Caenorhabditis elegans: one gene and its partners. The protein of the gene in region 3 interacts with the protein of the main gene of each other region in a pairwise test. Each region holds a gene or a part of one and is shown on either strand. Other genes may lie near its edges.

The links.
Region 1: the proteins of ceh-12 (region 3) and nhr-170 interact in a two-hybrid assay, tested with the Caenorhabditis elegans proteins (one large-scale study listed by BioGRID).
Region 2: the proteins of ceh-12 (region 3) and nhr-243 interact in a two-hybrid assay, tested with the Caenorhabditis elegans proteins (one large-scale study listed by BioGRID).

What each region holds. Positions count from the first base shown.
Region 1 is NC_003283.11:18,793,526-18,805,357, forward strand, and holds nhr-170 (Nuclear Hormone Receptor family), read right to left. Parts: upstream 7,302-11,832; 5' UTR 7,295-7,301; coding exon 7,170-7,294; intron 7,120-7,169; coding exon 6,983-7,119; intron 6,328-6,982; coding exon 6,116-6,327; intron 4,444-6,115; coding exon 4,225-4,443; intron 3,963-4,224; coding exon 3,867-3,962; intron 3,819-3,866; coding exon 3,724-3,818; intron 2,960-3,723; coding exon 2,581-2,959; 3' UTR 2,536-2,580; downstream 1-2,535. Other genes in the region: nhr-231 (Nuclear receptor domain-containing protein), read left to right, coding at 39-133, 836-1,214; C54E10.11 (FIP (Fungus-Induced Protein) Related), read right to left, coding at 7,908-8,066, 8,613-8,630; C54E10.10 (Late nodulin), read right to left, coding at 9,399-9,533, 9,803-9,835; sri-10 (G protein-coupled receptor), read right to left, coding at 10,559-10,652, 10,700-10,820, 10,874-11,070, 11,618-11,739, 11,791-11,832.
Region 2 is NC_003283.11:18,892,024-18,904,408, forward strand, and holds nhr-243 (Nuclear Hormone Receptor family), read right to left. Parts: upstream 8,515-12,385; 5' UTR 8,504-8,514; coding exon 8,343-8,503; intron 7,609-8,342; coding exon 7,472-7,608; intron 7,395-7,471; coding exon 7,330-7,394; intron 7,281-7,329; coding exon 7,149-7,280; intron 6,439-7,148; coding exon 6,229-6,438; intron 4,742-6,228; coding exon 4,542-4,741; intron 3,726-4,541; coding exon 3,455-3,725; intron 3,393-3,454; coding exon 3,294-3,392; 3' UTR 3,258-3,293; downstream 1-3,257. Other genes in the region: emb-4 (Intron-binding protein aquarius), read right to left, coding at 402-650, 1,427-1,734, 2,473-2,807, 2,877-2,945; mihp-2 (Neuropeptide CCHamide-1), read left to right, coding at 11,754-11,835.
Region 3 is NC_003279.8:5,836,300-5,844,829, reverse strand, and holds ceh-12 (Homeobox protein ceh-12), read right to left. Parts: upstream 4,549-8,530; 5' UTR 4,542-4,548; coding exon 4,340-4,541; intron 4,294-4,339; coding exon 4,201-4,293; intron 4,107-4,200; coding exon 3,943-4,106; intron 3,028-3,942; coding exon 2,944-3,027; 3' UTR 2,890-2,943; downstream 1-2,889. Other genes in the region: col-54 (Nematode cuticle collagen N-terminal domain-containing protein), read right to left, coding at 865-1,406, 1,767-1,926, 1,973-2,116; F33D11.16 (uncharacterized protein), read right to left, coding at 6,076-6,245, 6,529-6,547; twk-47 (Potassium channel domain-containing protein), read left to right, coding at 7,438-7,497, 7,615-7,850, 7,895-8,012, 8,236-8,388. UniProt on the Caenorhabditis elegans protein: Transcription factor. Plays a role, downstream from homeobox protein unc-4 and Wnt signaling, in specifying synaptic inputs to A-class motor neurons. Involved in patterning of the synaptic outputs of the postmitotic DA class cholinergic motor neurons.

The DNA of each region.
Region 1 (11,832 bases), on a different chromosome or scaffold from region 3:
TCTTACCTAAATCAAAATTCTAAAAAAATTTATTCCAGATTCTTCTGCATTCCCATAAGTTTGCAGCAAGATTTGGGAGCTATTGCGTTGATTATTCACATGTATGGAGCCAGGGTCCGCACACTTTTGAGAAGTAAGCCCTGATACTAAGAATATTGAATTTGCCATGAAATTTCCAAAATTTTGACACCCATATTGACTATTTTTATGCTATCTTGTACGGAAGGTTATTTTAAAAAATTTCAAAATTTAAACAAAAGCTGTTTTTTTTTCAAAGATTCAAAAGTACGGCAAAATAGTAATAGTAATAGAGCCTAATAGTAAATCCCCACCTAAATTTTTTTAGTCTTTTTCTCCATTTTCGGCCTAAAAAAACCAAAATGGGTATCAAAAGCTTCCAAATTTTACTTAGAATCCATATTTCCTACTACAAATTCAACATTTTCAGTGTATTCGGTGGAAAAATGATCCGATACTTTGACATAATCGTGAAGCCATACCTGGAACTTAATCTCTCTGAAACTGAAGTCACCTATATTTTATGTCAAATCGTCTGGAATTATGGCTTTAGGCCACTTTCAGGCCTGAAAACAGATTTTTCGGAATATAGTCAATATGGGTGTCAAAATTTCGGAAATTTTGTGTAGATCTCGAATTTTTACCTTGAAATCACTCAAAATGCTCTAAAAATATGCAAAACACCAATTTTGTCATACTCTTCAAAATTTTTAGTTTTCAGCTTTATTTTCAGCCCAAAAGACCCATTATTGGTGTCAAAATGCTCCAAATTTTACGTAGAATCCAAATTTCTTACTGAAAAATTCAATTTTTTCAGTGTATTCGGTGGAAAAATGATCAGATATTTTGACATAATCGTGAAGCCATACCTGGAACTTAATCTCTCTGAAACTGAAGTCACCTATATTTTATGTCAAATCGTCTGGAATTATGCAGGAAGACGGCTTCAAGGACAAACCCAAGCGGCTGGAGAACGATTTTTAGAGGAAATTTCCAATAATTTGCATAGTTACTATGAAGAAGCTGCTAGAAAAGAGGAAAATCCGAAAAACTATGCGTCAAGGCTTACGAAAATGATGCAAATTGTCAATGAAATGTTGAAAATGCAGCTGAAACAGGAAACTGACATGGACTTGGCGCTTTTGTTTGATATGTTCAATATTTCGTTTACCGAGCCCGAGTTTTTCAGGGTTTGAGGGGAATTTTATAGTAAAAAAGCAATGAAATCTTTAATTTCTAATGGAAACAGCATTTACAAAAAATTTCAGGAAAATTCCAGAAATTTTCAGACATTTCTAGCAAGTTTCAGCTCTGAAAACCTGGAAAAACTTTCAAAAACTTTGAAGAAAATTCACAAATTTTAAGAAAAATTTCATATAAATTTCAGAGATTCGGAATTTTTTTTTGAAAATTTCAGAAAATTGCAGAAATTCAGAAAATGTTCCGGAAAAATATTTCAAAAAAAAACTCACAAACTTTCATAGACTATTTTCTGGAAAATTGATTTTCAGGCCTAGTATTGGCCTAAAACGGCTTACTTCAGCTTGAAAAGTCAATTTTTCGGAAACTTAAAATTACAGTCAACATTGAAATTAAATTTCCAAAATACGACACCCATATTGACTACATTCTGAAAAATTACTTTCAGGCCTAGAATTGGCCTGGAAGCGGCCTATTTCGGCCTGAAAGTTACCTTTTTCGGAAGTCCGGAAGAAAGTTACCAATTTGACACAACGTTGTGAAAATATTGATTTCGGGCCTAGAATTTGGCTTGAAACGGCCTATTTCGGTTCAGGTAGACTATTGTCGTCGAAGAATTGGATCGTTTTCGGGCCGAATACACTGAAAAATCAGACTGATGTGGAGAATTTAGAACGTTACACAGAAATTCTAACAAATTATGATCCATATTGGCTACTTTCTGAAAAGTTAGTATTCAGGCCTGTTTTTGCCCTAGAACGGCCCGTTTCGGCCCAGAAGTAAATTTTTAGGTCATCAGTAGCAAAATAGATGTGTACATAACATTTCCCAAAATGCGACGCCCATGTTAGCTATATTCTAAAAACGTAACAATCAGGCCTAGAATTGGCCTGAAAACGGCCTATTTTGGACTGAAAAGTGAATTTTCGGAAGATTAGCATAAAAAATAGAAAGGTGCATAGCACTCCTCAAAATTTTAAACATATATTGGCTATTTTCAGGAAAAGTGAATATCAGGCCTAGAATTGGCCTGACAACGGCCCATTTCGGACTGAAAAGTGGATTTTTCGAAGATCAGCATAAAAATAGAAATGTGCATAGCACTCCTCAAAATTTTAAACCTATACTGGGTATTTTCAAGAAGTTTGACAATCAGGCCTAAACTTGGCCTGAAAACGGCCCAGTTTGGCTTAAACACTAAAATTTTCAGATCATAGTCAATATGGGTGTCAAAATTTTGGAAATTTCACGCCAAATTTGAATTTTTTAGTTTCAAGTCCACTTATGTGTGTTACAAAATTCTAAAATAACTTCACAATTTCACACAAAATATCAAACGATTTATTTTCGTTATTTTTCCACTCAAACCCTGAAAAATTCGGGCTCAGTGAACACAATATTAAACATATCAAACAACATTGCTATATCCATAGTATTTTCTCGTTTCAACTGAATACTCAGCATTTCATTGACAATTTGCATCATTTTCGTAAGCCTTGACGCATAGTTTTTCGGATTTTCCTCTTTTCTAGCAGCTTCTTCATAGTAACTATGCAAATTATTGGAAATTTCCTCTAAAAATCGTTCTCCAGCCGCTTGGGTTTGTCCTTGAAGCCGTCTTCCTGCATAATTCCAGACGATTTGACATAAAATATAGGTGACTTCAGTTTCAGAGAGATTAAGTTCCAGGTATGGCTTCACGATTATGTCAAAATATCTGATCATTTTTCCACCGAATACACTGAAAAAATTGAATTTTTCAGTAAGAAATTTGGATTCTACGTAAAATTTGGAGCATTTTGACACCAATAATGGGTCTTTTGGGCTGAAAATAAAGCTGAAAACTAAAAATTTTGAAGAGTATGACAAAATTGGTGTTTTGCATATTTTTAGAGCATTTTAAGTGATTTCAAGGTAAAAATTCGAGATCTACACAAAATTTCCGAAATTTTGACACCCATATTGACTATATTCCGAAAAATCTGTTTTCAGGCCTGAAAGTAAAGCCTGAAACGTCAATTTTTTGGAACCTTTATATTACAATCTGCATTGCAATAAAATTTCCAAAATTTTGACTCTTAAATTGACTGAATTCTGAAAAATCACTTTTCAGGCTTAGATTTTGACTTAAAACGGACTATTTTGGCCTGAAAACTCATTTTTTTGGAAACTTAATATTACAGTCAACTATTTTTTAAAAAATGCCAAAAATTTGGCACCCATGTTGACTATATTCTGAAAAATCAGTTTTCAAGCCTGAAAGTGACCCAAAGTGGCCCAAAATGGCCTACTTTGGCTTAGAAAGACGATATTTGGAAAGCAGTAGATATACATGTCAAATTTTCATAATATCTCTTAATTTACATCAATTTTGGCTTCCAGGCCTAAAATGGGCCTATTTCGGCCTGAAAACTAAAATTTTCAGAATATAGTCAATATGGGGGTCACAATTTTGCGAATTTTATGTAGATTTCAAATTTTTAACTTCAAAGTCCGGAAACTCACTTGTTAAACCGCTCAAAGCCGTGATCCGACACGTTTGAATAATCGATATGATAATTGCCAAATCTCGCGGCAAATTGGTGATTGTGAACGTGAATCTGAGAAATTTTTAATATTTTCAGACTATTTCAGGCCGTTTCAGTTACTTTTTCGTCATAGCATTTTTGACCGAACATTTGAGCAGACATTGTGTACCTCTCGAATCTCCGCCACACCGCCCACACTATTTTGAAAATTGCGATCTGGAAATTGAGAGACTTTTTTTAAGGCTAAGCTTAAATCTAAGCCCAAGCCTAAGCCTAAGCCTAAGCCTAATCAACACTACCTTTTCATGAAAAAAAAAATTTTCAGAATTTTTTTTTTAAATTTTCAGACAAACTACCAAAAAAAACTAGAAAAATGTTTTAAGCCTAAACCTAACCCCGAGTCTAGGCCTAAGCCTAAGCCTGAGTCTAGGCCTAAGCTTGAGTCTAGGCCTAGGCCTAAGCCTAATTCGAAAAAAACCTTCTCATGACTCGGTAGCCTCCGAAATTCGTCCGAATGCATAAGCCACGTGGCAGTATCCCGCATCTGTACCTCCCACCACTGGAACATTTTGTAAAATTTTACGTGCTCAAAAAATTCCGGGCTCCAGGACTGTTTCTCACGGATTTTGTGCAATGAGTGGGACATCCGCTGAAGGGGGTTCAGATGAGCAATAAGGTCTTCGTCGGGAAAATAGTGCTGCAAAAAAAAATTGAAATTCGCTGAAAAATGTAAAGATTGAGAATTTCCGAAGTCTAAACCAAAAAAATTGAATTCTTTGTGAAAATTGCAAAATTTTGACACCCATATTGAGTATATTTCTAAAACTTCAGTTTTCGGGCCGTTCTGGGCCTCATTTCAGGCTTGATCTCCGAATTTTCAAAATTTAACACACAAAAAATGCATTTTGTGAATTTTGTACAAAAGTGACATACAAATCGGTTGTTTTTAACAGTTTGTGCTTTCAGGCCGTTTTGGGCCGGCTTTTCGGACCAAAATAAGCCGTTTCAGGCCGAAATCTGCCCTGGAAACAATTTTTTTAACAATTTAGCAATATGGGTTTCGAAATAATTTAAAATAATTTAAAAATTTGTATTCTCCGCAAAATTTCCGAAATTTTGACCCCCATATTGACTATATTCCGGAAATTTATGTTTTCGGGCCGAAATAGGCCGATTTTAGGCCGAAATAAAATAGAGTCTACTCACAATTGCAAAATTTCATACAGTTCCTAAAATTTGGAAACTTAACACCGCCTAAATTTATGAGTTTTTTGAATTCGGGCCGTTTCAGGCCGAAATAGGCCGAATTTAGGCTTATACTGAAAATAATAGTAATTTTCGAAAAATAATACTATAAATTTCGGATTGTTCACAATTTCTAAAATTTTAAAACCCATTTTGAGTATATTTCTAAAACTTCAGTTTTCGGGCCGTTCTGGGCCTCATTTCAGGCTTGATCTCCGAATTTTCAAAATTTAACACACAAAAAATGCATTTTGTGAATTTTGTACAAAAGTGACATACAAATCGGTTGTTTTTAACAGTTTGTGCTTTCAGGCCGTTTTGGGCCGGCTTTTCGGACCAAAATAAGCCGTTTCAGGCCGAAATCTGCCCTGGAAACAATTTTTTTAACAATTTAGCAATATGGGTTTCGAAATAATTTAAAATAATTTAAAAATTTGTATTCTCCGCAAAATTTCCGAAATTTTGACCCCCATATTGACTATATTCCGGAAATTTATGTTTTCGGGCCGAAATAGGCCGATTTTAGGCCGAAATAAAATAGAGTCTACTCACAATTGCAAAATTTCATACAGTTCTTAAAATTTGGAAACTTAACACCGCCTAAATTTATGAGTTTTTTGAATTCGGGCCGTTTCAGGCCGAAATAGGCCGAATTTAGGCTTATACTGAAAATAATAGTAATTTTCGAAAAATAATACTATAAATTTCGGATTGTTCACAATTTCTAAAATTTTAAAACCCATTTTGAGTATATTTCTAAAACTTCAGTTTTCGGGCCGTTCTGGGCCTCATTTCAGGCTTGATCTCCGAATTTTCAAAATTTAACACACAAAAAATGCATTTTGTGAATTTTGTACAAAAGTGACATACAAATCGGTTGTTTTTAACAGTTTGTGCTTTCAGGCCGTTTTGGGCCGGCTTTTCGGACCAAAATAAGCCGTTTCAGGCCGAAATCTGTCCTGAAAACAATTTTTCAATTCAATTTAGCAATATGGGTTTCAAATTCAAAAATAAGTATTGATTAAATTTCACAAGATTATTTTTAAGCCAGTTTTAGACCGGAAAATTGACTTTTTCAGAATTTTTTCAAACTTTTTTGAAACAAATTTTTGAAAATTACCTACCGTCTCCAAAATTGCTCTACTTTCTTTAATAATTGCATTGACATCAATAAGCATTGCAGGTGCTTGAGTTTTCGGGTTAACTATGTAATATTCCACCCGATTCCGCACTTTGGCGACAATTTGCTGTGATGACGTCACTTCCATTGATGACGTGGATTGAGGGGATTGAGAACTGGTGTCTTCAGAATCGTCTTTGAAATCTGTGCGTACATCTGAAAAAAAAATTGAAAAACTGAAAAAAAAAAGTTTTAGCCCGAAATAGGCCGAAATAGGCCAAATTTTAGCCTAAAACAAAACATTGCAAACTTTAATAAGCAATCTCTTCTGAGAATTGAAATAAATCAAAGTTTTGACGCCAGTACTCGTTGTATAGTTTCTGAGTCGATTCGGGCCGAAATAAGCCGAGATAGGCCGAACTTAGATCAGTGTGAGACATGTTATGAGGTTTTTCTTTGAATGCAAAAATTTTTGTCGAGTTAAACCTTTACAACCTTATTTTTAGCTATAGTTTAAAAAATTGTGGTTGGGTTTTAAAATTTTAGAAATTGTGAACAATCCGAAATTTATAGTATTATTTTCAGTTTAAGCCTAAATTCGGCCTATTTCGGCCTGAAACGGCCCGAATTCAAAAAACTTATAAATTTAGGCGCTAAATTTTAGGAACTGTATGAAATTTTGCAATTGTGAGTAGACTCTATTTTATTTCGGCCTAAAATCGGCCAATTTCGGCCCGAAAACATAAATTTCCTGAATATAGTCAATATGGGGGTCAAAATTTCGGAAATTTTGCGGAGAATACAATTTTTTAAATTATTTTGCTTTCACAGTTTGCATTTTCAACGAAAATTTGAGAAAAAAAACCCTCACTTTCAGTAGTCATACCCAAGTCGATGCATTTTTTAAATCTGCAAAATTTGCACAGCTTCTCCTCGCCACCGGCTCCAATTTCACATTTTCCAGTTTTCTGGATACATTTGTATTTTCGGTTCAAAACTACGGTGCGCCTGGAAAAAAATTCTCCGGTACGATGCTCCGAAATTCCGCTAGAGCTTACCTGAAAAATGCAGCACACGCACGACAAGTTTCAAGCCCAAAATGCAGACCGTGACTGGTTTTTTGACAAATTTCACAGTTTACAGTGAAATATGTCATTTCTGACGAGGATGATGGAAATTCCATTCTGAAAATTTGAATTTTGGCGACAAAATATCGATTTTTGAGGAAAAAAAACTCAAAATTTCTCAATTTTTAATGTAAAAATCTATGGAAAATGTGAAAATCGTAATATATTTCATAGATGAAAAGTGAGAAATTTGATAAGAGGTGAAATAGAGACAGGGGAAAAGTAAATATTAGGGAAAAAAGCACGAGACGCAGAGTAGGAACATCAGCAGGTATTAGTCACCAGGAAACATGCATACATTATTGTCATAGGAAATATAATTTTTAGTTAAATAAACCAAAATTTTCTCGAAAAACCGGGTTCTAACACAGTTTTCAAGATTTGAAACCTAAAAAATCGAAATTCTCGCATAGAAAAACCCCCGACAGAGTACATAGGTTTTTCTATGCGAGAAAATCGAATTTTCAATTTTTAACTTATGAAAATCAAGCTGGAACATTGATTTTGGAGATTTTAGGGGGGCTTTTCTCAATTTTTGAGAATTTCAAAGCAAATCGACCAAACTAAGCTTGAATTGCATGTACACAGTTCTCTAAAGTTTAGATGTTTTGTTGAAACAACACAATTTCGGTATGATAATATTTATTCAATATTCAGAGCTTAGGCTGTTCACCATGGAATGTTTGGAACATAACGACATACTCCCAAGTAGCATCTGTGAAAAGTTCTGCACGGTGGGTCACACCATCTGCGAGTACGATTGCGGGCTACGCCGAATCCCTGGACTTCGTCTTGACAAAGAACTCCGAATGGGAAGAGAACAGCGATCTGAAATTTCAAAGCTTAATTTTTGACATTCCTAGAAGTTTTTGTATATTCTTAAACTGAAAAATTCGATTTTATCCGTCTAAATATGATTGAAAACACTTGAAAAAAATTTTTTGCCACAGCGGGGACTCGAACCCCGGTCTTGTGATTGTCAGTCGCCGAAAATCACACTGAGCCATTTGGACAAAATTTTCAAAAATTTGCGGGAAATATGTAAATGTGAGTGTAACACTAATTTTGATTCTAATTTGAAAATTTCAAATTTGAAAATTTTTTGTTGAGTAAGTAAATTTTTGGTATTTTCCAGATGTTTTTTCTCTGAAACCTCAAAATTTGAAGTTTATACTTTTCAAACATCCTGAAAACATAATAACAAAAAATTTTACCAAAGCGGGGACCCGAACCCCGGTCTTGTGATTGGTAGTCAGCAAAAATCCCACTGAGCCATTCTGGCATAAATTTTAAAATTTCAAGATATTGTCCGATTTTTTTTAAAATTTAGACTAATTCAAAAGTAATTTAGTTTTCAACTCTAGAAACACTTACCAAAACGAGAATTTTCATATTTTCGAGCGCCACACTAAAATATGAGGTTCTTAATGTTTTCCTGCTAGTTTTTATAGATTTTAATCGTATTCTCAAGGAATTTCCATTATTTCGGTGTTTGATTCGAGGCCGATGGGAATTTCAAAGAAAAATTTACATTTCTCAGTGGGCGTTTGGGAAAGTGACTCACAAATGGTTTTGATTTTTTGAACTGGCAATTGATTTTTTCGAAGTTTTCCAAGAAGATGATGCAAAAAAAACTTTAAAGTTCAGATTCAGACGCATCAAAAATACCCAAAATCCGTTCAAGCAACACTAGAAAAAAATATCGACCAGCGTGCGGACTCGAACCCCGGTCTCGTGATTGGAAGTTGGCGAAAATCCCACTGCGCCAGCCGGACAAAATTTTCAAAAATGTGCGAATTTAAAAGGGTTTCAACTCAGCTTTCAAGTTTTAAGACCCAAAAAATCGAAAATCTCGCCTATAAAAACCTAAATACCCCCAACGGGGACCCGAACCTGCGCAGTCGGGAAGAGGCTTGACTATGGGGAAATAGGAGCCAGGGTTGAACCCCCGATGGGGCACATAGGTTTTTCTAGTCGAGATTTTTGAATTTTCCACTTTTAAATTATGAGAATCGAGTTGGAAACTAGATTTTGGTGATTTCAGGGGTATGTTGCACTCTTTTTTTAAACTAATGCTGAATCAATTCGACTATGCGTCTGAAAAAAAACAATTTCCAGTAAAAACAAAACGGTCTTGATATAACAACATTTATTCAAAATTCAGATACATACTCCCAAGACGCATATGTGAGTAGGATGACACTGTGGAATACACGTAAATCTGATTTGAGAAGCTGCATTAAATGCCGGGGCATTGTCTTGGCAAAGGGCTCCGAATAGGAAGAGAGCAGCGATCTGAAACATTAATTTTTGGCGTTCCTATAAGTTTTTATGCTAAAAAAAAATTGAAAATTCAAGTTTTACAAGCTTTAATTACTATAGAAAACGTAAATAAAAAAATCTGCCACAGCGGGGCTCGAACCCCGGTCTTGTGATTGGTAGTCGCCGAAAATCGCACTGAGCCATTCGGACAAAATTTTTGAAAATTGAGCTTTCTTAGGTTTTTTAAGGTTTTAAGCTCAAAATTGATGATAATTCAACTTTTAAACTCTAGAAACACTTACCAAAATGAACATTTTCATATTTTCGAGCGCCATATTAAAATATGTCGGTCTTAATATTTTGGGGGTAACTTTTATAGATTTCAATCGTGTTCTCAAAGAATTTTATTGATTTAATGTTTGATGTGAGGACGATGGAAATTTTAAATGGAAATTTGCATTTCTTAGTGGGCGTTTGGGGCCGTGACTCAGAAACTGTTTTTTTTTTAATTTTTTTTTGAGCTAAAATTGATTTTTTCGATGATTTCCGAAAATCTAGCGTTGCAAAAAATTGAAAATTCAGATTCTACACATCAGAATTACTCAAAACCGTCCAAGAAACACAATAAAAATATTCCGACCCGGGTGCGGACTCGAACCCCGGTCTTATGACTGAAAGTCGGCGAAAATCTCACTGCGCCATTCGGACAAAAATTTCAAAATTGGTCAAAATTCGGAGCACGTGATAGAAAAGCTGCTTAAAGCATAATTTTCACATTTTAGTTACAAAAATCCACTTTGAAACTAAAAAAAGAAAATTTTTGCAACCAAATTTTCGACATTTTCTAAAACTTTCTGAGTTCCCAAACTTAAAAATTTGAATTCTACGTCTCAAAAATACTCTAAAACAATTTTTAAAAATGGAAAAAAAAATTGTGCCGCGGTGCGGACTCGAACCCCGGCCTTGTGATTAGAGGTCGGCGAAAATCCAACTGCGCCATTCGGAAAAAATTTTCAAAATTGGCGGAAATTCAAAAACTTATAATAAAACTTACTTTTTCAAGCATTTAGTACAGTTCCCACAAAATTATTCGAAATTCTCATGCTTGGCTCAACGAGGCTCCCCACCTGACTCTCATTTGGAACTGGAAGTCTGAATTTTTTTTTTTTTTTTGAGAATTTTTTTTCTCAAAAAAGAACCTTAACAATCTGAAAACCTTCTCCTTAAGTACCCGTCGGTATACCCCATTGCTCATAACCATTACAAAACACTGACACATTGAGTGGGAGGACATTAGGAAGGAGAAGGTGGAGGCCAGCTCTGAAAATTTTTTTTTCGATAAAAACTTTTTTTCTGAAAACCTTTTCTATTACCTTCAAAAGCCAATGAATTTGTCATAATTACTACTAGAATCATGTACAAAGGGGTTGTTAGAAGCATTCCGGGGATCACCATTTGCATGGTCAGGCTTATGAGGGCTGTTCTGTGCATTTGGTAGGTTTGGGGGGACATGTGAGCACGTAAACGTTGGAGAATCATCATAGTGTGTACGCCAAGGTATAAACAGTAGCTGGAAAAATTTATTCATACCTCAATTGATTGTGACACCTATAAATGCTCTTTCAACAAATTTTCAAGGTTTTAAAACCTAAAATTTTGAAATTCCCGCATAAAAAAATCTATCTGCCTCAACAGGGACTCGAACCCGTGACCTTTTGCTCCATAGACAAGCCTCTTATCCTCTGCGCCACGAGTGCCCCCTTCGCCGCAAAAGAATGCACAGCATAGCGCAGTGGGTAAGAAGCTTGACTGGGGGGAATAGGTCTCAGGTTCGAGCCCCCGGTGGGGTAGATAGGTTTTTCTACGCGAGATTTTTGAATTTTCAACTTTTAAATTATGAGAATCGAGTTAGAAACTAGATTTGCGTAGTTCTCAGGTCCTTTTTTTCACTTTAATTAATTGGCTCAGTGGGATTTTTGCCGGCTACAAATCTGACGACCGGGGTTCGAGTCCCCACTGTGGGTTTTCGAATTTTCAGATTTTATGATAACTTCAATGAGTATTGAAAAATGTCGAAAATTTGGTTTTAATGACAATCTTCAATTTTATCAGTTTACCTTGCAACCACAAAGACCCAACCAATTCCTCCGAGCCCTGCCACTGGAATCCACGTGTTCACTTGCCAGTTATAAGCTTCAAAGCCATCATAAGCCATCCAGCTCAAGCATTGGGGGTAATTCTGTAAAATTTCGAGGAAAAAAGTAGGTCTGGGTGTCCGGATGTCCATTACCTGCCTAACATAGTCATATTTTTGCTCGTAAGTCAATTGCGA
Region 2 (12,385 bases), on a different chromosome or scaffold from region 3:
TATTTGAAAATAAAATACATTTCAGTCGAAAAATTTAATAAAGTGCTCAAAAATGGCCTTCTGAGCACTTTATCAATTGTGTTTCGACTGAAATAAATTCAATTTTCAGAAAAATCAAGTACCTAATTTTCTATATTTTTATACTAGTTTTCAATAAAAAAAATGGTGGCAAAACATGATATTTTGAAGAAATCCGCATAAAAATCGTCAAAAACCCGAAAATTGACGTGTTTCTACAGTAAAAAGGCTACGAAATTCACTGTAGAAACGCCAATTTTCGGGGTTTGACGATTTTTATGCGGATTTCTTCAAAATGTCATGTTGTACCATGTTTTTTTTAAACCATTTTAGCGCCCGTTTTTTCTCAAAAATTCTCAATTTTCAGCCGCCAATTCCCGCACCTGAAAGATCATCAATCTCAAATCTAGCGTAAAATTTGAGGAGTTGAACCAATTGGAAGAACAGCGAACCAGCGTCAGTGGAAATCAACGAAGAAAGCAGGCAATGTGTGAGAATATGTGATGAATGAAGTACTGAATTGAAGAATCGTCTCGTTTGAAGAATTGATTCTAAATCAATCAATAATTCGATGAATCTCTCGCAATATTTGATCGAATCAATTGGATCACGTACTTCTCCTTCTTCGGATTCTGCAAAAATTGTGGATTTTCAATGAAAAAGACCAATTTTTTTAGAAAAAATCGCGCGAAAATCGAATTCTACAACACATTTTCCGGGACTTTTTTTAGTTCAAAAATCACAAAATTTGAATTTTGGCGCTGAACTCTTAGCTGGAATTTGATACAATTTAGGGAAAAATTAATTGGAGAAACTGCTGATTTCTCGAAAAAATAGAATTTTTATTGCAAAATTTCTGAAAATTACTCGAAATTTGCCCGAAAAATGGGCTAAAAATGCTGAAAATACCATAAAAAATGTAAAAATTTGAGAAATTACTCAAAATTAGATGCTAAAAGCTAAAAACATCGGAAAAATCAGTGAAAATCCGCTGAAAATGTGTAAATTACGATGAAATTTGGTTTTGGGCGCTGCTTAGACTACAAACTACAAATTTTGGGCGCTGCTTAGACTACAAACTACAAGTTTTGGGCGCTGCTAATTCAATTTTGGGCGCTGCTTAGACTACAAACTACAAGTTTTGGGCGCTGCTAATTTAATTTTGGGCGCTGCTTAGACTACAAACTACAATATTTTGGGCGCTGCTGTGAATTTTTCACGTTTTTTCGTCATTTTCAAGAGATTTTAATGAGGTTTTCATTGAAAAATCGAAAAAAAATTACGGTTTTCGGATAAAAAACTAATATTTTCTTTAATTTTTCGCATTTCTCTTCAAAAAAACGGAATTTCCGGCGTTTTTCACCGATTTTCTCCGTTTTTTCCGGAAAATTTAGCATTTTCCACGTACCCTGAGCCTCATTTGGCTCCAAACTGTTCAAAACTCGTTTAAATTTCTCGATTAAATTCCACAAATAAGTCCGTTCGAACTCGTTGTTGTCCGCCGCCGCCGCCGTCATTTTCTGCCGCACATTTTCCCAAATTTTCTTCAATTTCTTCTGTTTTTTGAACAAATCTTCGCGTTGTGAGTCCAAAAGACCGGCCCAAATCTCAATTGAGACGAGTTTTCGTGTCTCTTTGTGCACAATTGGTGTCTCAACGGAGCCAAATGCGTTGACAAGGAATGTCAGAAGAGCACAGTGTTCTGAGGAGGCGAGTCTGCAAAATTTCGAAGGATTTTTTGGTGAAAATTGGGGAGAAATTTAGTGGAAAATCGCATTTTTCGCGTTTAAATAGTGGTGATTTTCAGTGGTTTTTTGCTTTTTTCGCGAAAAAAAACAAGAAAATTGCTCGAAATTAGGTGCAAAATGAGCGAAAATGCCGAAAAATTGCTATGAAATTCGCAAAATGCAGCTAAAAATGAGCAAAAAGCGATGAAATTGGTTTTTTGGGCGCTGCTAAGACTACAAACTACAAGTTTTGGGCGCTGCTAATTCAATTTTGGGCGCTGCTTAGACTACAAACTACAAGATTTTGGGCGCTGCTAATTCAATTTTGGGCGCTGCTAGACTACAAACTACAAGTTTTGGGCGCTGCTAACGACATTTTGGGCGCTGCTAGACTACAAACTACAAGTTTTGGGCGCTGCTAAGACTACAAACTACAAGTTTCGGGCGCTGCTTAGACTACAAACTACAAGTTTTGGGCGCTGCTAGACTACAAACTACAAGTTTTGGGCCCTGCTAATTCAATTTTGGGCGCTGCTTAGACTACAAACTACAAGTTTTGGGCGCTGCTAAGACTACAAACTACAAGTTTTGGGCGCTGCTAATTCAATTTTGGGCGCCGCTTAGACTACAAACTACAAGATTTGGGCGCTGCTAATTCAATTTTCGAGCTAATTTCGAGTTTTCTGAGCTTTTTCGCCATTTTTCCGCTAAAATCTCGAATAATCACCCTTCTTCCTGCAACGAAAGCTGCAAAATGCTCTTAAAAAAGTGCGGAAAGTGCTCGGATTTCTTCGTGAAACAGTTCCACGAATCCAAATTTCGTTCTCGAAATTTCTCATTAATCATCACAACAATCGACATATTCCAGGCCTTTGAGGCTTTTTCTGGAACGTAATTCGGCCATAAATAGGCCTCCAAGTACTGCGAAAACTCGAGCATCATGATTTTTCGCGAATTAAACGAGGTTTTCAGCATTTCATTGTCGTAAATTGTGTCGATGAGCTTTGCGTCGAAATTTTCGTGAGTTTCTGCTGTGAATGGAGCCCAGAACTTGGCGGCGACCTGAAAAATTGGGAAATTTTAGGAGGAAATTTGATTTTTGTAAGTTTTCTAAGGTTTTTTTGCACCCACCGCTGAAATTGTGTCATTTTCGATGGCTCCCCGAGTCACCACGGCTTCTTGATGACGTTTAGTCACCATTTACACCTGAAAAACAGTTTTTGCCGAAAATCGCAAGATTTTAGCGATGAAACTGGTGAATTTGGGAGAAAATATCAAGAAATATTAAATTTTCGAGTTTTTTAATGCAAAATTCACTAAAAAACCTCGAAAATTCATTGAAAAACAACGGAAAATCAGAAAAAATAACTGAAAATAAAAATAAATTTCGAAAAATCCGGAAGCGCGCCTTGGACTTTTGCTGGCGCACTTTGCGTGCTTGGCGCATTTCTCGATTTTTTTAATTTATTTTTTGTCATTTTTCATCGAAAAACCTGCAAAAACCTCAAAAAATCACGATTTAAAGTTAATTTATTCAATAAAAATCAATTATAAATCCTCAAAATACTCATAATGAGAAAATCGCATCGTGTGAACGTCGAAAACCTTGGCCAATTGGAGTTTTGAGCGGATTTGGAGCACTTCTTCCTGCAAAAATGTGTTAAATTTTATTAATTTATCAATATTTAGAGTGAAAAAGCTAAGAAAACCTTAATTTTCCGGATAATTCTCAAAATCTGCGCCAGGCGAACTGAATATCTCGGCGTTTCCTTCACATTAACATAGTAATCATGCAGATTATTCGCCAATTTTTCCATAATTTTCTCGCAATTTTCTTGAATTTCGCCTCGAAATCGGCGTCCCGCGTGTCCGAGCACCAAATGAGCCAGCATATAGGACAGCTCCACGTCATCTGGGTTCAAATTCATCATTTCTTGGGCAAATTTGTAGGTTATGTGGTTTTCTGACGTGTCGTAGAAGCTGAAAATTGGTGAAATTCTGCTGAAAATGCGCTGGGCGCTGCTAAGACTACAAACTACAAGTTTTGGGCGCTGCTAATTCAATTTTGGGCGCTGCTTAGACTACAAACTACAAATTTTGGGCGCTGCTAATTCAATTTTGGGCGCTGCTTAGACTACAAACTACAAGTTTTGGGCGCTGCTAATTCAATTTTGGGCGCTGCTTAGACTACAAACTACAAGTTTTTGGGCGTTGCTAATTCAATTTTGGGCGCTGCTTAGACTACAAACTACAAGTTTTGGGCGCTGCTAATTCAATTTTGGGCGCTGCTTAGACTACAAACTACAAATTTTTGGGCGTTGCTAATTCAATTTTGGGCGCTGCTTAGACTACAAACTACAAGTTTTGGGCGCTGCTAATTCAATTTTGGGCGCTGCTTAGACTACAAACTACAAATTTTTGGAATTTTGAAGCAATTCCAATAGAGTTTTTAATGGAAAAAATGCCAGAAAACTGAGAAAATTAATAATTTTCGCGGAAATTTTCGCGGAAAAGAAAATCGAATTGGAGATGGTTTTGACTACAAACTACAGCATTTTGGCGCTGTTTAAGCCTAAAATGCACACTTTCGCAGGATTTTGTCACAAAAATTTCGAGTTTTCGGGTGATTCTGAGGGGGTTTTAAGCGTATTTCCGAAATTTTCCGCTACAAAAACTACTATTTGGTTTGATCTACGAGAATTGCGGGGTGTTTAGAGATAGAGTTTGCTGACGTCATATTTTTCTGGGAGTGAAAATTTTTCCCGCATTTTTTGTTGATCAACCCTAAGTACTTACAATTGCATTTGCTGATTGGTTAATCGTGAGCACCACGTCAAATCCAACTCCATATTCTTCATATCCATCATTGAATACTCATTTTTATGCGAAAACATTACACAATCACCGCAGCACATCTTCATCCGTCGCCCCATCGCTGTAATTGCCAACTTATCCAGACGAGACCATACATGCCACGTGGCGGCAAGGATTTTTAGCTGGAAATTTTCGGGATTTCAGGTGGTTAAAACTATAAAAAGTGGTGGAAATTCTAATAGAAATAGAACATGTTTTAAGAGCTAAAATCTCGAAAATTTCGCCAATTCACTGCAACTTTTTCCTCACGAGGGACGAGGAAAAGTGGTTTCTAGGCCATGGCCGAGGGGCCGACAAGTTTCAGCGGCCATTTATCTTGCTTTGTTTTCCGCCTGTTTTCTTTCGTTTTTCATCGATTTTTTTCGTTTTTTCTTAATAAAACTGATAAATAAATATTTTTTGCAGATGCTAAAACAATTTCCAAGTAAAAAAATTATGTATTCAGTGGGCAAGCAGCGGTGAAAGTGGTCAATGCAATATGATGGATTACGGGAATACAAAACCTAAACTTTTTCTGAAACATGATACATATGATGCTTAGATGCTGAAATTATCTGATTTTCATAACGAGACCGCTGAAAAAGTTTTGAGGTTTCCAAAATTCTACTTTTTGTGCGAAAATCTCGACTTTTTCACCAAAAAAGTTGAATTTTGGAAACCTCAAAACTTTTTCAGCGGTCTCGTTATGAAAATCAGGTAATTTCAGCATCTAAGCATCACATGTATCATGTTTCAGAAAAAGTTTGGGTTTTTTATTCCCGTAATCCATCATATTACAATGCCCACTTTCATCGCTGCTTGCCGACTGAATACATAATTTTTTTACTTGGAAATTGTTTTAGCATCTGCAAAAAATATTTATTTATCAGTTTTATTAAGAAAAAATGAAAAAATCGATGAAAAACGAAAGAAAACAGGCGGAAAACAAAGCAAGATAAATGGCCGCTGAAACTTGTCGGCCCCTCGGCCATGGCCTAGAAACCACTTTTCCTCGTCCCTCGAGAGGAAAAAGTTGCAGTGCAATTTTTCAGTGTTACAGCCAGCTGCCAAGTAGTAGTTTTTATTCAATTTTCACCCATTAATGTATATTTTAATGGTTTATTACGCGTTTTTCAGTAGATTAAGCTAAAACGCGTGAAAAATGATTAAAATATACATTAAAGGTGGGGGTACCGAAATTTGAGACTTTGCGTTTTTAGACACAAAATGGCCCAAAACTACCAAATTTCGTAATGAGACGTTCTGAAAATTTTTCAACAAAAAAGTTATGGCTGCTCAAAGTTTTGGAAACAACGGCTAAAAATAGGCCGTTTTTTTCCGAAAACTTTGAGCAGCCATAACTTTTTTTTGAAAAATTTTCGTCTCATTACGAAATTCGGTAGTTTTGGGCCATTTTAGGTCTAAAAAAGTAAAGTCTCAAATTTCGGTACCCCACCTTTAATGGGTGAAAATTGAATATAATCTAATTTTTGGCCGCTATAACACTGAAAAATTGCCGAAATTTGAGTTTTTAGCTGAAAAGTTTTTTTTCTTCGAATTCGGGCCATTTCGAGTATATCTGAATAGGTTGTGGTAGCTGAACTAAACTACAAACTACAAAAAAAAACACCTGAACATCATTAGACATTCGCTGGAAATCGTCGAAATACGAAAACCACGTGGCGGCCCGCAGAAAATCATTTTCCCAGAATGCAAACGTCTCGGCCATCCCGTAGCTCTCGATCACCTTAACTTTGGGATTACTGTAGTTTCCAGCCAACTTCCGAACTCCGCGAGCCAGCTTTTGCAAGGAATCAGAACCCCACGGGGTTGGAGAGCCCTGGAAATGAAATTTGACTGCGATATTCGGATTCTACGTGAAATTTGCGAAATTTTGAAACCCATATCGACTAGTTTCTGAAACGTTTGACGCCTTAAATGGGCCCAAATCTAGCCTAAAATCTCCTTTTTCGGCCTAAAAATCCAAAACTTCAGAACCTAGCCGATATGGGTTTTAAAATTTTGGAAATTTCAAGTAGAATTCTAATTCTAGGTTCAAAATTGTCTCAGATCTCCTGGAAACTCAAATTTCGGCCTGAATCGGCCTAATTGCCTGAAAATCAAAATGTCCTAGTCTTGCTTGATAGAGGTGTCGAATAAACTAGATTTTTGCGAAGAATGGTTGGTGAAAAAAGCAGCAGAAATTGAGATTTTCGGCTTAGATCGGCCTGAAACGGCCTATTTCAGCCTAAAAATCTCATTTTTCAGGATCAAAACTATAAATTTTAATTTTTCAGAAGTTCTACAGAAAATTAAATTTGTGACTGAAATTCTGCGGATTTTCAATATTCGGCCTGAAAAAGGCCTATTTCGGCCCAAAAACCGAGTTTTTCAGAACCTAGTCAATATGGGTTCCAAAACTTTGGAAATTTCATGGAGAATTCGAATTTCATACTTAAAAGTGTCCCCGAGTGTCCCATGTCCCGACAAGTGGCGGGACAAATTTTCAAAATTCAATTTTTATGCCTAAAAATCGATAGCTAAGCTTACCTCAAACAGTATCCTTCGGCCCTTTTCCACAAAATCATGGCAATCGATTAAATTTTGCTGAGTGTGAATTTCAATTAGTGTCGGCTTACAGTGAACCACAAAAAACGGGCGGCCCACTAGTTTTTCGATGCTCTGAATGGGAAAAGATTTGGGTTTGGGTGAAATTTGGCTGAAAATTTACCTCAGGCAATTTATTATTTATAATTTCAATTTTAGATCGAATATGGTCCCGTTGGAATTGGAAATCTGAAAAAAAAAATTTTTTCGAAAAATCTTTAAAAAAAAAATTTTTTCCGAAAATTTCAAATTTCCCCCCGAATTACTTTTCATGGTCATTCCGACTTTATAGCACCGTTCCAGACGGCATTTCTTGCACTGAAACCATCCATTTCCGTTGAATAAGTTACAGGTCCGGGATTTTTTGCACGGCCCGATGGAGGCAGACTGGGTGGAGGCTCGGCTGAAATTTTTAGGATTAAAAATTTTTTTTGTGAATAATTTTTCAGTTTTTCAGAACACCTAATATGTATAGAAGAAACAAAAAAAAAGGAAAACCTTCAAAAAATTTTAATTTAAAAAAAGTGTTTTCGGGAATTTCAAAATTTGTCCCGTTGTCGGGACATGGGACATTCGGGGACACTTTTTAGTAGGAAATTCGGATTCTCCATGAAATTTCCAAAATTTTGACACCCATATTGACTAGGTTCTGAAAGTTTTGAGTTTTAGGCCAGAATAGGCCAATTTAGGCTTTTTCAGGCCCGGTTTATATCGAAAAATTAAAAATTCTTAGGCTTTCAGTCACAAATTTAAAGTTTCTCAAGATTTTTTAGAGTTGTGAGTCTTTTACTGGCTGAGTTCTAGAAACATAGGTTTTTAGGCCGAAATAGGCCCTTTTTAGGCCGGAATAAGCCGAAAATCTCAAATAAGCAAGTTAGAGGTTTTGATTGCAAGTTTCTAGAGGTAAAATTTTAAGCAAAATTCAAAAATTTAAACTTTATCGCTCTCCCGGCACTTTGAGCCGAGTTATGGGCTCCCGGAGCCTTGAGGTGCTCAAATTTCATTTTTTTGGAAATACTCAATATGGGTGTCAAATAAGTGGTAAATTTTGTGCTGAACACGATGGAAGTATTATTTTCCACTAAAATCTAAAAGTTTTTGAGAAAATTCTAAAAAACTGTCGAAAAAAAAACTCACCGAAAAAAAGCGGCACAAGCTCTGCAACTAAATGCTCCAAAATGCTTTCCCTTGGCATCTAAACCACAAACTGCACATTTTTTAAAGCCGATTGCCGTAATTTCAGGTGTCTGGGAGTCAGAAGTGGATGAAGATGGAGAAGAAGAGAATGGGGTGATCATTTGTCTGAAAATATGGGTTTTGCATGGAATTCAGGGAAAATTGGAAGGAATTTGTTAAGTCAGCTAGTAAAAAGTGTATAAAAAAGAGTTTAAGAAAAATCCATAAATAAAAAAAAAATTATTTTTTGAAGTTTTTGAAATTGTTTTTTTTTATTTTCTTGAGATTTCTTTCAATTTTCAAGCTCATAGTCATACACACCAATCAAAAAAATCATTAAAAAAATTTTAGCAGGCAACGGGGCTCGAACCCCTGACCTACTTTTTCAAAGCCGCACACAGCCAACCCTCTACCCACCTGAGCCACAAATACCCCAAATTTAAAATTTTGAAAATTATGGCTAAGCTCTGAAATTACACTTCCTAGGCTTAAAATTACACGGGAAATCCAAAAATTTAAGTTATTTTGCTCTAGGACCACTTTGAGCCAAGTTATGGGCTTAAGGAGCTCCGAGGGCCCAAAAACCTGAAAAATCTGATGTCAAATAACATGCTAATTTTATGCTGAACAACTTTTCAGTTGACAACTTTTTGATATCTCTTCTAGTTTTTGAGATATTCCCCGAAATAGGTGGAAAAATCGATAAAAGGTTTTCCTAGGTTTTCGGGAATTCTTTGAAATTTTGTGAACTCAGAGGTTTAAATTGATCTCAACATGTTTAAATTGCAATGAAAAAAAATTTAGCAGGCACCGGAACTCGAACCCCTGACCTGCTTTTACCCTACTTCGCCCAACTGTCCCTCTACCCATCTGAGCCATAAATTCCCCCTCTCTGAAATATTAAAAATAGTGGCTAAGCTCGAAATTTACCCTTTCTAGCCTTAAAATTACACGGAAAATCTAAAAATTTACGTTACTTTGCTCTAGGACTACATTGAGCCACATTATGGGCTTATGGAGCTCCGAGGGCCCGAAAAGCCTGAAAAATCTGAAATTTTCAAAATACTCAATATGGGTGTCAAATAAATAGCAAATTTTATGCTGAACAACTTTTCAGTTGACAACTTTTTGATATCTCTTCTAGTTTTTGAGATATTCCCCGAAATAGGTGGAAAAATCGCTAAAAAATTTCAAATTTCCAAAAATTTTCAGTTTTTCAAGTAGAAATTGTTGCCAATAAATAATGAAAAATAACAATAAAGGTGTTTCTAAAAAAATCAATATTTCGCAATAAATTCTCCTTATTCTTACGCCAAAGACCGATAGCAAACATGAGACGGCGAGAGAGTGCACATTTTTCAGAGAGTGGTTAGAGATAGAAAGGGTAAAACATTTGGAGATTACAGGTGTGTCTAGAGGTTAGTACTTGACTATAATGTAGTGGAAACAAGAAACCCCGAAAAAATTATATGAAAATCGGAGAGAATGAGAAAATTCTGAAAAATTTTGAAATCTCTCCAGTTTTTCTGGAATATCTTAAAAACTAGAAAAGTCATCCAGAAAATACATGTTTTATCGTGTTCAGCACAAAATTTGCTATATAGATGACACCAATATTGGATAATTTGAAAATTTTAGATTTTTCAGGCTTTTCGGGCGATCGGAGCTTCTTAAGCCCATAACTTGGCTCAACGTTGTCCTAGAGCAAAATGACATTAATTTTTGGATTTCTCGTGTAATTTTGAGCCTAGAAAGTGTAAATTTAGAGCTTAGCCATGATTTTCAAAATTTCAAATTTGGGGTGTTTTTGGCTCAGGTGGGAAGAGGGACAAATTATAAAAAACGGTCGCGGGTTCAAACCCCCGCTCAGGCCGATAGTTTTTATTTTGTTTGAACAATATTTTAAATCAATTTTCAAGTTATAAAAGTAAGTTTCAGTTTGGAAATTTTCAAATTTGGAATTTTCATCCGAAAAACTCGGATTTTTTTTTAGGTTTCTACTTAATTCAGGCGACATTTCCTTTTTTGAAATGTGAGCAGAACCCCTTAAAATGTGCATTACTCCACTAAAAAACCGGTTTTGTTTTTCAGATTTCTCTTGCCGCGCCGTTTTCATGCAAATTGGCAGAAATAATTGGATCACTCGTTGGTTGGGGGAGCACGGAAGAAGGCTTAAAGCACAGATTTTAAATTCCGAAATTTTTGAAGGATACGTCATCTAATTATCCAGCTCACACTCACACACCCACTTGAAAATTTATATATATATATAAATAAAAAGATTTTGCTCGAAAATTTGAAATTTCCGTTTTATTACGAATTCTTTTCATTGCGCCTTTTCCGGTTTTTAATTAGGTGTATTATTATACTAGGATTACTGTAAAAAAGGGTGGGGTTGAGATTTGGAGCAGGAAAAAATTTGAAAAAAAAAATTCCATAAACATTTTTTTTTTTGAAATTTGTTTTCATTTTTTGCATTTATATTAGAAGTGGCAAATCTAATTCTTTTTTTAGATTTTCTTTTTTTAGAAAAAAATTTTAAAGCATACACCCTTATATTTCACTGTTTTACAAATTTAAAAATTAAAAAAAAAACTTCTGGAAAAATTTCAAAAAAAATTTTTTTTTTCGAAATAAAAAAAAAAATTTTGAAATTTTTTCGGCATATATAGACGTGAAAAATCTATTTTGTTTTTTTTTTTTGAATTGTCTAGATTCCCGGCCAATTTACCAATTTATGGCCTAACGTTTGGTTTTCTAGGCCACCAACTTCAAATCGCTTTGTTGGGAAATGAGATACTTGTGAAACTCAAAATGAACTGAATTTCTCATAAAAAATACTATAAAACCGTATTTACATCTACACACTGTTTTGGAAAAAAAATGAAAAAAAAATTTTTTTTTTGAATATATTTTTCAAAAAAAAAAAATTTTTTTTGAAAAATTTTTCTTACACTTTTTCCTTTAAAATTCCTTTTTTTATCCGGAATATATACATTTTTAATATTTTTTTGAATTCACTAATTAATAAAACCCCGATTGGCCACTCTGTGTCATCTGAAAAGGGGGCGGAGCTCCGAGGCTGTTGTGGGCGGAGCTTAAATCATATTTCATATTTTATTAGACTCACTGTTTTTGAAAGATTTTAAAAATTATTTGTCAAAAAATTTTACCGAAAAAATTTCCAAAAAATTCCCATCTCCCGTTAGTCTTTATCAAAATTTTTGGAATTTTCGCCAAAAAATGCTCCAAATTTTTTAATAAATACTAACAGGATTTTAAGGAGAATAAATTTTTTTTTTCGAGACTTTTAACCCCGTCGGAAACCTTTTTTTTTGTAAAAATCTGAAAAATTGCAAATTTTCAGGTAAAATGAGAGTGCAAGTAGTCACACTTCTCGCGGTTTTGCTCGCCGTCTTGCAGTTCACCTCAGCAGCCGGTAACTATTATTCAGGTATGTTGAAGAGCGGAAAATTGGCTTCAATTTAAGTCAAAAATTGGCGGGAAATGTTGATTTTGAAAAAAATTACAAGAGTTTGAAAATTTTGAGGCAAAATTTTTTTTGGGCTGGACAAATTTTTTTATTTTTTTTTGAAATTTTTTTTTAAAAACTAAAAAAAATTTTGTTATTGCTTCATTTTAGTGTATATACCTCGTTTAAATGCAAAATAACCTTAAGTATTAATTTTTCAGAAAAAATTAAAAAAAAAAAGTTTTGAAAATTTTGACAAATTTTTAAAATATATGTTCAGATTTATGAAAATTTATAGAAAATGTGGTAAAAATTAAAAAAAAATACAAAAATAGAAATATTTCAGTTCCAGATTTCAAAAAAACATTTTTTTTTAATATTGAAAGTACAAAAATACGACAGTTTGAAAAATCAAATTTTTTTTTCAAAAATTAAATTTTCAAAACTACCGTTACCTAGCAGCTTTCGTTTTGAGACCCATAAAACTAAATTTTTCAAATTTAGCAAGTCATGGGCTTTCAAATAAGTATAA
Region 3 (8,530 bases):
ACTATTTATGAAATAAAATTGGCAAACCCTCATTTACTAGCGTGCTCATTTACTTGAACGTTCAATCCCTAACGATGGCTCAATTACTAATGTTTCCACTTTCGCTCGTTTACTAATGAATGGCGCATTCACTTTGAAATTTCAAACTTTAAAAAATTAATCTACCGTTCTCACTTAAAAATAAATTGTCAGACGAAAAAATAGATTGGCAGACGAAAAAATAGATTGTTATACGAAAAAATAGAATGTTTTTCAAAGTTAGAACGGTAGATTGATTTTTTAAAGTTAGAACGGTAAATTAATTTTTTAAAGTTAGAACGGTAGATTAATTTTTTTAAAAGTAATGTAGAATTTAAAGACGCGTTGCGGTGTTTTTCAAGCAGGCACAGAATTTTTGAAGACTTTTGTCCTGAGAGAATATGCGTTTACTTTTTAATGTTGAATGAAAGAAAAAAAAGAAAAAAACATATTTAATTGTTTAAAAATTAATTTCAGCTTTAACGCGGGTTCATGATCCTTGAATCACAGTTTTAGTTTCGCGTTCTTTGTTTTCCATTCTCAAAAAAATTCGAATTGAGCTATGTATGACCCGCGAATTTGTTGTAAAAAATTGTCGCTGAGTTATAATTTATTGAGACAGAATTAATGTTGAATTCCGCATAAGTGAATTTTTTGTAGCAAAATTGAAAAATCTGGAAACATTCGGAAAGTTGCATTCTTTTTTATAGTTCTATTCGGTCATTACGGTACATATAAAGTGACTCCACCTTTTTTTTTTTGAGACAATTTTATTCACTCTTTTAATGACACTTGATGGCAAACAATAACAATTGATAAATTAAATATTTGGAAACATTGAATAATTTATGGAGATTCACTAGAAAAAACAAGCTTAGTTCTTGCTGGACATGAACAATAGGCAGCATCTGGTCCTGGTGCTCCTGGAGCTCCATCACTTCCTGCAACTCCATCAGATCCATTTTCTCCATCTTTTCCTGGTGCTCCTTGAATTCCTTCAGTTCCATCACCTCCAACATCTCCATGTGGTCCTTGTTGTCCATCTTTTCCTGGTTCTCCAATTGGTCCTTCTGGACCTGGAGCTCCTGGAGCACCAGATCCACGGTTTCCATTCTTTCCTGGTGCTCCTGCAACTCCAATTTCTCCTGTTGCTCCAGCATCTCCTGGTTCTCCTTCTGATCCTTGTTCTCCGGCAGATCCTGGATTTCCGTTGGATCCTGGAGCTCCTGGCTGTCCATCTGGTCCTGGTGCACCTGGTGCACCATCAGGTCCTTGTGGTCCTGGTTCACCAGCTGGGCATTTAATGCATGGAAGCTTCTCATCTTCAAATACCAACGAAGATCCGGCAGCTCCATCTTTTCCTGGATTTCCAGCTTCTCCGTCGGCTCCTGTGAAATATTTCATAATTAAATTGTTTTGAAATTTTGGAAAATAATTGACTAAGAAATCTTAGACTTCTTGGAAAGCAGAATTTTTTTAAATGTAAATATTTTATAATTTTTTTTTCAATTTGTTAAAGTCTTAAAGTTAAAGTTAAAGTTAAAACAAGTTTTCTAACAATTGGATAAATGTTTCTAGCAGTGTCAAGGTTCACTATTGCAAGCGAGATTGATTTACTCCGATGTGTAATAGCGCATTGACAGACCCGGAAAATGTGGCCGCGTGGCGCAATGGATAACGCGTCTGCCTACGGAGCAGAAGATTGCAGGTTCGAATCCTGCCGTGGTCGAAACGTTTTGCAGAATTACCTGGTGTTCCTGGAGCTCCCGGTGGTCCTGCTTCTCCCGGAGGGCAGTTATTTGGACCGTTTGCACATGGGCAGCCACATGACTTATCTTCGTCGTCTCTTTTCTTTCTGTCAAATGTATTAGATGATATCATATCTTTCCATGCGACATCGGAGTAGTGCTTAAAAAATTAACATGTTCTCAAGTTTATTTTTGTTTAATGAAACCTTGAAGGATTCAATTTCATCAAGTGAAGTCTCTAAAAATCCTTGAGCTTCAAAGAATAATGATCCAGCAACAAGAAGACTGGAAATAATAGCCACACCACATACCGAAGTTATGAATAAGAGTACTGTACTTGTGGTTGACATAATTACTGAAACTTCTAAATTAAAATATACCAATATAATCATTTCGTGAAGATGTGAAATCCGGCTTTAAAGGTACATGTTGTTTTTCGAAATGGTTTGATATACCGTACTTCCTGTTATTGCACCTCATTGTTCAACTTTGACATTTTACATATCGTGTGTCCAATACAAAAAATGTCAACGGTAAAAAAATTGTATTTCTATTTCTAATTCTTTGTAGTTGATTATTTATTGATATCTTCAAACTGAACCGAGATTTAACCATTAAAAGGTATAAGATGAAAAAACTATTAGAGGAAATACGGTGTATTATGATTCTCCCTTTAGAGAAGATTAAGATTTCTAATAAAATAGAAAACTGCTAGATATCATAACAAAATTCGTAATTTTGATAAGAACGTATGAATGTATAGTATAATTGAATATACTAATAAAAGTGAATGCAGTAAAACGTATATAACTCGAAAAAAGATACCCCATCAATCAGCAAAGTGACTGTATAATGGGAAGTATTCGGACGGGCGGAGTCATTTTCATTCGAACATAAATACCCTTGAAAAGCGAGTTTTCACTAGATTTTCACTATTTAAAGCATTGTCAGGTAACGTGTTTTTTTTTTGTATAAAAAAGAAGACAGAAGAAGAAGAAGAAGCCTGGGGGTGAGAGAGAGAGAGAGATGAAGAATATCCGATTTTTTGTTATCAGTGAACCGAAATCACGTAATCATTTGACAGGTTTTAATGATGCGGAAGAAGATAAATTAGAAATGAATATTGTCTTTTGATTAAGAATTTATTAAGTAAAAGTGATCAAATATAAAAAGATTATCAAGAAGAGGAAGTTGATTGAATTGGAGTTGAAGATGGGCAACGTTTGTTTTTCATTCGACGATTTTGGAACCAGATTTTGATCTGAAATCATTATGATTTAGAAACAAGAAATTAGAAAAAAATAAATAATGATTTTATACAATGGAAATTTACTTAAGTAATTTTTACACAATTTTCATTCTCGTAGGAACACATTTGTTGAATATTCTGTTGATTAAAAGTGAAGTGGCGCCAATTAGGGCTGTGCGGCTGATGACTCGGCTGATGGAGCAAATCAACGTTTTTCAACGTATTAGCAATGATCAATTAGGGAATACTTGTATTTGCCATATCGGCTGAGTCTTGAGCTTCTAATTCTAGAAAAAAGTTTTTAAAAAAGTGCACACCCCTTCCAGAAAAACTCGTTTTTCCAATCAGCCGACAGCCGACAGCCGAGTTACTCGGATGATTCAAAAAGCCGACTGTTTTGTCAAGGTGTGTGCACTTAAAAAAAAACTTTTTTCTAGAATAAGAAGCTCATGACTCAGCCAATACTGCAAATACAAATATTCTTTAATTGATCAGTGCTAACACGTTGAAAAACTTGATTGTCTCCATCAGCCGAGTCATCAGCCGCACAGCCCTAGCGCCAATGCGAAACTCGTCAAAATATACCCTCTAAAAATTTTTTAAAACAGCGGACCATCGGCCACTCTAAATTTTTTTTCAGGTTTTTTCGAAATTTTTTGTCAAAGTGTTCGATAAATGTGGACTCTTTGAGAACTATAAAGTATTCGTCAAAGTTTAAATCCCCATAAAGTTCAAATAATTGAAAGATAATTAGAGTAAAAATTGTAAAATAAGTATTTTTGGTGGACGTATATTTTCTCGTTTCTTGAGCTTCAAAGGCTTCAATGCAAGCATATCTATTTGTTTACCGTTATGTACGGGTAGGCAAACGGGTAGGCATATTTACCTTTATGGAAGCACCAGTTTTATTAAATCTATTGAAATTACCTGAGTCTCTGAAAGAGATAATTGTTGTGCCAATTGATATCTTCTTGGTCTACTCAAATATCGATTATCTGAGAATTGTTTCTCTAATTGAACTAATTGTTCACTGCTGAATGCGGTTCGTGGTCTTCTCATCTTTCCCCATGCTTGCCATGCATTTACTGAATCTAGAAAAATTCAAATTATTTCTAGTATGTAACCTTTTAGAGGTTTTTATTGGGGATTTACTGAAGTATTCCCTTTCATAAAATCATCACTTACATGTTAATGCTAAATGATCGTAGATCAAAGGAAGGACCGGCTGAACCAGTGACGTGTATGCAGAAAGTGGAGTAACAGTTGATGTGGGAGAAGCTAAAAATGTGTTATTGATTTTTCTAGTTTAAAGGTTCAAGCTCACTAGAACTGGAAAATGAGTTCTCCAGCGAGGCTTGAGCAGCAAATTGGGCTGCTTTTGCCGCCATTTTCATTAATTCCTCAGAGCAGCTGGTTGAATAATTTGGAATTTGTGATGGAGGGGAGGGGTGACTCTCTAATTTTTGATCTTCATTTTGAGAAGAAGTTGAGATTTTAAGAAGAGAATCTATTGAGGAAAACATCATTCTGAAATTATTGTCAATTGAAAAGGTTTACGATTAGAAGAGTACTGTAGGAGTCTTTGAAACAAAAATGATAAATATGCGAAAAATCATCCGGCTCATATTGAATGAGGGAAAATGTTGCATTTTACAAGGCGGAGCCCATCACTTACCGCTGAGGATCCCATAGTCTCTAGGGAGGCGGCTCGGTTCATAAGCGACTACGGTAGGACGAGAAGACGAGAAGCTGATGTGTGAGGAGAAGCATGATTGATATTTCGGAAAACATTATATAGCGTCTCTTTCTTGGGTTTTCATTTAAGATGAGCGTGTTGCCGCCGCGGCACTGCCTCTTGGGAGCCGCCCGGATGACTTGTTGAGAATTCTGATAATTTTCGCCTTGTTTTGCGGTTTCTTGGCATTTGATTGATGGATACTTAGAACAGGCATGTGCTTATAAATTTCTAGTTTAAAGAAGGGAATTGGAGTTATGGAATCAAATAGTTTCGATTGCTGTTAGGAAAATATTTTCTATGGTTTTGGCAATTCCCGTAATATTCCAAATGCCGTGCACATCAGCTTAAACGAGAATATTCAAATATGACGTTCATATGTATGAGAGATGTGCGGCAAACGGTCGACTTTTGTTCGACTTTTTTCGGTATTTTTCGGCATTTGTGAAAAATTTATTTTTTAAAAATTTAATCGAATATACATTCAAGTTTTTCACATTCATCCGTTGAAACATAAATCTACAAACATTATAGTCATAAAACACAACCAAAGACATCTCTGTGTCTCTTGTATCATAACACTCCCAAATCACCTGTATTTCTAACACTTCCCAAAAATTAACATATTTGAATTATTAGCCATATTCTTTTAGTCGACACAATTATTTTGAATCATTCTTGCCTCTGGGATCCTTTTTTGACTATCCCAACAGTCTGGTCGTTTAAATATGAAATTGATCTATGCTTTAAAATTCAAACCAGACACTCTTTATAAAACTTTGGAATTCAACTATTTAGATTTAGAAAATTGAAAAAAAAACACAAAATTTTTTTTTTAAGGATGCCGAAAAGTGCCGATAAATGCCGATCGCCGAAAAATTATGAGAAATTTATGTGTCGGCGAACGTTCGCCGAAAATTCAGGATGCCGCACAGCCCTGGTATGAGGTACACACGTGATGGTGGTTGATGATGTCACGGAATACTTGAACAGGATCATGCAAATGAAGCTGAGACGTATGCCTTTGTTCCTTGGCAATAATTTTGTCCGGTAATTCCTTGATCTTCTTACTGCATTTCAACTTTTCGTTAGTATCAATGATTTCGGTTGCTTGTCCCTTGAACCTTGTGCCGTTTGCCGCACAGACTTGACCTGAACCCAAAAATTAAATCCACTCCAAATATTTTGGATCTACCTGAAGTACGCTTTTACAGTTATTTATTTATTTCATTTTATTTTACAAGTATTTATTTTTAAATTAGTAATCCAATTTACAAAATATGTACACAGTTTACAGAGAATACAAAAAAAAATTGAAACAAGAATTATTTCCGCCAATGAACTCTCTTCTTCTCATTTTGAAATACCGGAGGGCTTTTGTTATTTGTGCTCGGCGATGGAGTTGTTCCATTCCTCCAACTACCGTAATCCCGAGAATCAAGCATTACAAGTGGTTCGATGCGACGTTGTTTTTGACGAGCAATGCTTGTTGAATCTGAAAATTTCGATTAAAAAGTTTAAGAGCAATTGATACAGGAGACTGTGTTCAGGTAGTTGCCAAAGTAACCAAAACAGAATGAGTCAAACATAACTTTTTAAAAAATTATTTCAAAAAACAATTTCAATGATTATATGTGAACTTTTGAGGATTTAATCAATGTGAGCTGAAAAGTGAGCATCTACCAAGATTCCTCTAAAAATTGGTTTTTTATAGTTTTAGAGACACTTATTTAAACATTCATAACTAAATTTTCAAATAGAGGTCTATAAAAACCTACCAGCAGGAGAAATGGGCATTTCGAGACGCGACGGAAAAATTCGAATGTTTTTTTTTCAAAAAATATTTGTTCCGTTTTTCACGTAACGGAGCACAGACAAACACACGCCCACTATTAGGCTATCAAGTGAATGATCCAAAGAATCTACAAAAGAATAACTCTTGAGAGGGAAAAAAGGTGTGGACGGGAACAACTCGGACGGCTTTTTTCGGGAAAATGTGTTCCGCAGCGTTGATTTTCTTCAATTTGAAAAAAGGAAAACATTTAGGAAATCACATGATTGTTGTTAGTGATTCAAAGTGGATGGGAATATTGGGAAAATAGAATGATGAGAATAGTTTTCTGTTGATAATATATATTTGGAAAATGTGTGCATATACTATGTAGTACTGTACTTTTTTCAAACGTATTGAGAAAAAACTTAATGTTTTATTTCAAAGATGTATGAGTGCGAAAATACCTATCCAATATTTTTAAAATCTGATTTGAACGTTTCTCAAATACCAAAATACCAAAATTCAAAAACAATTTAAACTGACTGTAGATGTTGCAATTTTTTCTGGTTTTTGATAAATTTAAGAATTTCTAGTATTTAGGAGAAGAAAATTCGTGAATATTTTTAGACTGGAATAAGTTATATTATTTTGACCATTAGTGTATTTATTGTTAGACCCTACTGAGGAATACTTTTCATATTGCTTTTATTGATTAAATAACCTATTTTTAACTCTTCTCATCCAAATCAGTTGCTGCCTAAACAAAACAAATTGAACACAATAACTTAAACAAATATTTCTAAACTAATACAATTACCAAATTATTCTGGTTTCATAATTTCCATATGGGTCTCATTGAATGCTACGCTTTTCATCATTTTTACACATTTCTATCCGAATACTATACGCTAAAATGTCTGAAGAAGAAAATTCGTCGAGCACCGAATTACCAGTGCAAAATAAATTGAAAAAGGTAAGAGAGTTACAACTTTATATAAAATTTTTTGATTTTTATTGGACAAAGTAAAAAATTATTTTTGAACAAATTTTGTGAAAACAAGCAAAATGGGTACAAAATTGTCGTTTTCAGATGTTAAAAATGGCACTTCCTCATGTGGGTCTTGCAGTTTTCTTGTTTTTATATCTTTTAATTGGAGCTTATGCATTCTACTATCAGGAATATGATGCTGACAAAAAAATTCAAATGACAAAGTTGAATCTAATACGGCAAAGATATAAACAAATTGAAAATGAAGTGAAGGTTTTCATAGGAAATGATAAGAAATATGAAGAGTATAAACCAAAATTATTGAAGCATTTATCTGGGTAAGTGTATTAAATTTAACTGATTGCAGATTTTTGCCATTCAGATTATCCACTTATCATGAAGGACGAGAATTTAAATCAACAATTTCTGGAATAAGTGATGATGCTTTGCCACCAAGATGGACTAAAAGAAGCTCTATTTTATATGCTCTTAGCATTTTGGTAGCTTTTTAAAAACACTTTTTATATCTTAAATTCTTATAATTCTCAACATGCCATTGAAATATACAGTTTAAACGGAACGAAATCGGTTGAACAGGAAATATCAAAACCAGAACTATTAAACTGACAGTCTTGAATTTTTGAAAATTTAAATTTAAAATGGATAGATTTTTGATTACAAAAAAATATCTGTACACCGAAAGATAATTAATGTAAATTTCAGACAACAACTGGATATGCTTATGCCGTTCCGGTTACCCCAATAGGGCAGTGTTTTGCAATAATTTATGGATTAGTTGGAATTCCAATGATGGTTCTGGCAGCTGTTGATTTTGGACGATTTTTATCACATATTGTTTTGGAATTGTATTCAAAGGTTGGTACACTTATCACCTGTTATAGACCTTTTTCTTTGAAAATTATATGAACTAACTAGAGAACCGTGAGATGCTCTATCTAGGTATTTTCAAAATCTTTGAAAGCTAATTGAGAGCTTATTTCGGAGCTTGATTGATGGC